2 linked regions of the Sus scrofa genome follow. The protein of the gene in region 1 interacts with the protein of each later gene in a biochemical or structural test. Links are inferred from orthologs where the notes say so. Each region holds a gene or a part of one and is shown in the gene's direction. Other genes may lie near its edges.

Region 1 (3,811 bases):
AGGTGGAATTGGCCACAGGGCGGCTAGGACATAGACGGGCAGCCCGGGAGCACAGCTTTCCTCAAATGCTGCTCCAGGTAGGCCTCTGCACTTCTAGCCCGCCTGACAGCAGCCCTATCAATGTAGCCAGAAGCTACAAGGGCTGGAACTGGAACACTCTTAGCCAACCTGCATTGGGCTTTGGTGGGATGAACTACTGGGTATGGGTATTTTGTCTGTAGCAAGAACAGTATCTTTGGAGGAGGGGGCTTGGTGTGCCTGAAGTGGCCCTCTGTTTCTGCTAGCAATATTCCCCAATCCCTTCCTTTAGAGAGAACGGGGCCTCTGCCACCGGGGAAGCTTCTCCCTTGGAGAACAGTCTCGAGTGATGTCTCAGTGAGTATGGGGCTTGGTGAAGAGATCCCAAGGGCCAGATAGGTCTTATCTCCTAAACTTTGAAGAGACCAATGTTAAAGGATCCTTAGGGATATTCAGGTAAGGTTACATGGGGTTGAGGCTTTGAGAATAAACAAAATGGCAAAGTATAGCAATTGAGGGGATGATAGATGAATGAAAGAAAGAGACTGTGGAGTTCCCACCATGGCACAAAGGGATCATTGGCGTCTTGGGGGCGCTGGGGCACAGGATTGATCGCCAGCCATCCGGGCACAGTGGGTTAAGGATCCAGCATTGCCGCAGCTTCAGCTTAGGTTGCAGCTACATCTTGGATCTGATCCCTGGCCCAGGAACTCCATATGCCATGGGGCAGCCAAAAAGCAAAAGAAAAGAAAGAGGCTTGTACCCAAGCTAAAAGGAAATATCCTCTGTACACACATCCAGCTCTGTTAGGATTCTACTAACCGGGACACTGCCTGTGCTGAGCTCCCCTTACACTCATTTCCTCTGTTCCCCAGCTTCTTGCCCAATGATCTGGGCTTCATTGATACCTACTCCCAGAAGGCTTTCTGTGGCATCTACAGCAAAGATGGTCAGATCTTCATGTCTGCCTGCCAAGGTATCAGACCCTAGTCCTACAAACTGCCCTAGAACAAGAGGTGGTCCCCCTGCCTAGGGCTAGAAAGCCCCAGGCCCCAGGGGCTCAGATCCTGGCTTAGGGATGCCTGGCCAGAACACATTGCCCATGATCAAGGGCAGATTCCACAGCTGCACTGAGTGAGAGAGGTCTGATCTAGGGAGGATTCTGGGAGAGTGTCCCCTAATTCTGCCTGATCCCCACTTACACAGACCAGGTAATCCGAATGTATGACTGCCGGTATGGCCGCTTTCATAAGTTCAAGAGCATCAAGGCCCGGGATGTCGGCTGGAGCGTCTTGGATGTGGCCTTCACCCCTGATGGGAATCATTTCCTTTACTCCAGCTGGTCTGATTACAGTGAGTAGGCCCCAGACCACCACGGTGGCTCCAGCCTGGGACCTGAGCTCTCCAAAGGCCCATCTCCTGGGAGCCAGGACTCTGCGCCTTCTCCTGGGCAGATCGCCCCCCAGGGTGGACATCCTTGCCCTTTGTTCCATCACCTCCCAGCCTCACTTCCACCCTCCGTACCCCAGCCCTGAAAGAGTCTTGTTTCTCTTGCTTCTCTTAGTTCATATCTGCAACATCTACGGGGAGGGAGACACACACACAGCCCTGGATCTAAGGTACTGGCTTCCCTTCCTGGTCAGACTCATCAGAAACCTCTCAAGGTGTAGCTCCAATTCAACCCCTAGCCTGGGAGCTCCTATATGCTGCAGGTGCGGCCCTGAAAAGCCAAAAACCCGAAAAACAAAACATCTCTCAAGGAAGGCTCTCTAGGAGCAAACGTCTTTAACTGGAACTCCTGCTTAGAGGGAAAAGTACACTGGTTGCAAGTTTCTCTGTGTGGATTCCCAGGAGGGAAGCATCTAGCCTGTCATGCAGAGGACCAGGGTGCAGTGGGCGGCTGTAGGCTTCTTCCCAGTGTCTCACTGAGGTGCTGCCCATTCTAGCACATGCTGGCAGGGGTCCTTTCCCCCACAGCGGTGTGCCTCACGGCCCTCGTCAGATTCTCTGTAGATGAGCTGGGGTGGAGGGACTTCACGCAGCCACTCCTTTGCTCTTTTCAGGCCTGTTGAGCGTCGCTTTGCCGTCTTCTCCATCGCCGTGTCTTCAGATGGACGAGAAGTGCTTGGAGGGTGAGTGTGTGTGGGGATGTGTCCCTTGCTTAATGAGACAGGAGTTCTTCCAGAAGCCATCTCTGCCATTACAGAGATGGCACTGGACCCCTGTACCCAGGCAGCTGTGGAGAACAACCAGGCCTTCCCCAGGGTCAAGGTTTCTGAGTTACTTCACCCCTCGCTCACCGTTTCCCCAGCATGAGATGGGAGAGCTCATACCTCCTTGTAAACACAGCTAACTCTTCTCCCATCTCCTGCATAACTCTTCTCCCATCGTGGCTCAGTGGTAGTGAACCTGATTAGTATCCATGAGGACGCAGTTTGATCCCTGGCCTCGCTTAGTAGGTTGAGGTTCTGGTGTTGCCGTGAGCTGTGGTGTAGATCGCAGACGCCAGAACCTGTGGCTGTGGCTGTGGCATAGGTGGGCAGCTACAGCTCCAATTGGTCATCTGCCCTGAGAACTTCCATATGCCGAGGGTATGGCCCTAAAAAGACAAAAAAAAAAAAAAAAGAGACAAGCACTTGCTCCTCCATAGGACTTTGAGACACAGTCTCTCCAGAGCACATGGAGCATTGGTCTGGCTCCATTGTGGTCCTGGCTCCATACCCTCTTTATCTCCTTCCTTTCAGGGCCAACGATGGCTGCCTGTATGTCTTTGATCGAGAACAGAATCGGCGTACCCTTCAGGTATTGCTCCCAAGACGGAGCCTCTGCCTCCTGGTCCTTGGCCTATGGGAAGACCTAGAAAGAGGTCGTAGGCACCCTGGCCTCCTTTTCCCCTAGATTGAATCCCATGAGGATGATGTGAATGCAGTGGCCTTTGCTGACATGAGCTCCCAGATCCTGTTCTCCGGGGGTGATGATGCCATCTGCAAAGTGTGGGATCGACGCACCATGCGGGAGGATGACCCCAAGCCTGTGGGTGCGCTGGCTGGACACCAAGATGGCATCACTTTCATTGACAGCAAGGTGGGCACAGAGGCAGGACCTGCCTGCACAGCCAGGCTGCTGAGGTTCCTGTTGTCCAGGAGGGCGTCAGAGTGGACGGGCATGGGAACTCACCAAGCTCCTCCTTAGCCAAGGTTTGCAAGAGCTGGAGGTTAAGGAAGAGGCTTAAGCCACGAGACATGAGATCCGTTAGTACCACCACTCCTCAAGGAGCAGCTTTCTATACAAGGAAAGTAGAAGACAGTCTGATCCAGGATAGAATAGGAGCCCAGCCAGCGCCCTGGGCAAAGAAGGGGAAACCTAACCAGTGGGTGGGGTCTGTGGCTCGGTCTGCCTGGATGAAGAAAAGAGGCGACCAAAGTGAAAAGACCAGCGCTCTTACTCCTTCACGGGGGAGGAGGAGCCAGCCTGACAGCCACTGACATTTGCAAGTTCTGACACTTCATCATCCATCTTGGGATTCACAGGGTGACGCCCGATATCTCATCTCCAACTCCAAAGACCAGACCATCAAGCTCTGGGATATCCGCCGCTTTTCTAGCCGGGAAGGTATGGAAGCCTCACGCCAGGCTGCCACACAGCAAGACTGGGACTACCGCTGGCAACAAGTGCCCAAAAAAGGTGAGAGTGGAAGTAGAACCCAAGATCTGAAGAGTGAACAATTGGGGGTGGTAGTTAAAATATTTGACCCCTGGTAAGGCCTGGCCAGAGCACGGTAGGTGGGTGTAGG
Region 2 (3,169 bases), on another chromosome or scaffold:
CACTGAGCAAGGCCAGGGACCGAACCTGCAACCTCATGGTTCCTTGTCGGATTCGTTAACCACTGCGCCACGACGGGAACTCCTGTGGATGTTTTTAAGTAGGTGGCACTAGAAGGAAACCCATGGAGGTCTCAGAAGGTGGTCTCCGTAGTCTGGGCTAAAAGTGCCCCTTCCAGAGCTCCCGTTGTGGCTCGGGGTAATGAACCTGACGAGTAGCCATGAGGATGCGGGTTTGATCCCTGGCCTCGCTCAGTGGGTTAAGGATCGGTGTTGCTGTGAACTGTGGTGTAGGTCGCAGACGCGGCTGAGATCCCATGTGGCCGTGGCCGTGGTGTAGGCCGGCGGCGGCAGCTCCGATTCAGCCTGGGAACATCCATGTGTCATGGGTGCGGCCCTAAAAAGAACAACCGAAAAGTCCTTCCCCAGCTCAAGATTCTGAACCTGGCACTGGTGGTAGGAGGAGCTGGAGGGAGACAGAGCCAGGCCGGGGTCCGGGGGCCTCCGGGAGGGCGGCCCTCAGGCAGGGGGTGTGCTGGAGGCAGGGGGGAAGCTGGGCTAAGGCGGCGAGTCACCGAGTTCCGCCCGTGCCCATGTAACTGTCCCCAGGAGTCCCTTAGCGCTGGAAAGCCGGCTGCCTGTTGGGCTTCACCAGACCCTGGCACAGCCACACGCCGATGCTTGCGCTCGAGAAGTGTTACGCCGGTCAGTGCTGCTGCCTGACAAACAGGCTGTGCTCGGGGTTCTTACTTGTCCCAATAATGTCCTTTCCACAGGACTTTTTCTCTTTTTTTGACCCAGAATTTAGTCAGGGATTACGTTTCATTGCCGTGTCTCTCTCTTTTTTTTTTTTTTTTTTTTTGTCCTTTTTTGCTATTTCTTGGGCCGCTCCTACAGCATATGGAGGTTCCCAGGCCAGGGGTCCAATCGGAGCTGTAGCCGCTGGCCTACGGCAGAGCCACGTCTGCGACCCCACACCACAGCTCACGGCAACGCCGGATCGTCAACCTACTTAGCAAGGGCAGGGACCGAACCCGCAACCTCATGGTTCCTAGTCGGATTCGTTAACCACTGCGTCACGACGGGAACTCCTTGTTGCCGTGTCTCTTAAATGTCCTTTAACTTAGAGTTGCCTTCCTGCTTTCCCCTCGCAACGCTGGCTCTCGAAGAGCTCAAGCCAGTTCTTATGAGGCCGCGTGTTCCTCACCTGGACGTTGCCACCCTGTTTCCTCAGGGATTAGATTCGGGGGGGACCCTCTGGGCCAGAAGGCCACGGTTGGGGGTGTGGAAGCGGCCCCCGTCTGGGGCTGGGATGGAAGGGGCCGTCCTCAGCCCAGTGCTAGAGCTGAGGCTGGCCTGCCTGGGCGGGTTTGATGTGGTTCTGCCTCCGAGGGCACGTGGGCCAGCTGCCGGCGGAGTTGAGTGGCTGCCGTACGAAGCCTTAAAGGGTCCGTTGGTTTCCAGTTGGGTGGAGTTGGCGGGCGGGAGTGGCACGCGTCCCCTGGCCGTTGAGTCGGATGTTATCTGTGGGTTGGAATTAGTGGCTCCATCTGGGCTCGGAGGCGAGCGTCCAGCCTGCACTGGCCTTGGCTGGTGGCGCCGTTGGCCCGGGGCACCCGCTCCCGCGTGGGTGAGCCGCCCGTGCTTGACAGCCCAGCAGCAGCGAGCCCAGGGCCTGAGGACGAGTGTGCCTCTGCTCCCTTCTAGGACGTGTACTGTGGCACACCCACCAAGGTCAGACACGTGGACTGCCCGCTGGAGGATGAGTTCGACTTGGAAGCGTGTTTAACGGAGCCCCTGAAAGACTTCTCGGCCATGAGCTAACCGGTGCCCCCGGAAGCCCCTGGGAGCCGGGCTGCCCCGCTCCCTGCCCAGGAGGAGGCCGGCGAGGCGCCCTGCATCTGGAACCCGTTGTTTCCTGTTAATAGTATTGTCTCACGTGGATTGCTGTTCTTGCCTTATTTTCTTGAGAAAATTAATTTTACGTATAGGGAGTGTATTTTGCATGTTTTAAATTGAAGATGGAACTGAATTCAAGGAACATTAAACTTGAGGCCGTCTTGTGACAGCCGTAATGGCTCAGTCTCCTCCATCCTTCAGCTGAACCCACAGGCATCCCTCACCTGGTTTTCCGCAAGTGTTTCGGGTATTAAGTTGCTCTTCGTCAGAGGGCTGGTTTGGGTTTAACATGTGTTCTCGGGACCGATCTAGCTTCAGCTTTCCTTTCGGGTGTCTGAGGATCATAATCAGATTCATTTCTGGCTGTTTGTCAGTATGTCAGGGCTGGTTTTTTCCTCACACAGCACCGAATAGTCAGGTATGAGCTTGAGCTGGTACGTTAATGGGTTTTATGTAAGTTTTACAGTCTTCATCTGCTACTTGTAAATAGTGCTGGGTAGGCCTTCTACCTGTAATACTCCAAGAGGTCAGGCAGCAGAGGGGCTTAGAAAGAACTTTTTTTTTTTACAATCAGTTAATTTACATGTAAAATTGCTGTAAATGATAATGTGTACAGATTTTCTGTTCTGATACTCAATTGTAAACTTCTTGTTAAGACTGTTATGTTTCTGTTGCTTTTGTATGGAATGACATTGCGAAAATAAAAGGGACCTTTAACTGACTTGGTGCGTCGCCAGACGGGCTGACTGCTGGGATGAGCGCGTTTGGAGGCTCAGGGAGGGCGGGCGTGGTGGCGGGGGCGTGGCCCGGGCCGAGGACCTCGGGCGGTGGGGTTGGAGCTCTGCCCTGGGGTCTTGGTCAGACCAGGGCCAGAGCCAGAGCCAGACCTGCTGTGCTTCCCCCGGCTCCCTGTGCTTCCCCCAGACTCGGGCCTCCCGGCTGAGGGAGGTGTGGGCCCAGCAGACGAACGAGCAAGCGAGCGAGCAAGCAAGCCAGGGACGCTGGTTTGATGCTTCCTCAGCAGCTGGGGTGATGGCCTTTCTGTGTTACTGAGACACCAGGGCCACGCCTCTGCCCTGGAGCAGCTCCGCTGGTGGGCACTGCCGCCAGCCCACAGCCAAGATAGCTGACTCCGCTTGAGAAGAGTCACCCTGGCTGCTGGCTTTTGCTTCACATCCGAAGCTACTGGCTTTTGTCTTTTAAGGGCCACACCCGGGGCATATGGAGGTTCCCAGGCTAGGGGTCGAGTTGGAGCTGTAGCTGCCGGCCTGCA

What was found.
Region 2: the proteins of DCAF11 (region 1) and SLBP form a complex in vitro, tested with the Homo sapiens proteins (2 studies listed by BioGRID, with this or other methods). The link is inferred for Sus scrofa from reciprocal best matches to the Homo sapiens genes DCAF11 and SLBP.

Annotation. Positions count from the first base shown.
Region 1 is NC_010449.5:75,174,496-75,178,306, reverse strand, and holds part of DCAF11 (DDB1- and CUL4-associated factor 11), read left to right. Parts: coding exon 1-77; intron 78-310; coding exon 311-375; intron 376-893; coding exon 894-994; intron 995-1,224; coding exon 1,225-1,371; intron 1,372-1,582; coding exon 1,583-1,637; intron 1,638-2,081; coding exon 2,082-2,150; intron 2,151-2,762; coding exon 2,763-2,820; intron 2,821-2,916; coding exon 2,917-3,102; intron 3,103-3,548; coding exon 3,549-3,702; intron 3,703-3,811. UniProt on the Homo sapiens protein: May function as a substrate receptor for CUL4-DDB1 E3 ubiquitin-protein ligase complex.
Region 2 is NC_010450.4:802,389-805,557, reverse strand, and holds the end of SLBP (histone RNA hairpin-binding protein), read left to right. Parts: intron 1-1,704; coding exon 1,705-1,821; 3' UTR 1,822-2,618; downstream 2,619-3,169. UniProt on the Homo sapiens protein: RNA-binding protein involved in the histone pre-mRNA processing.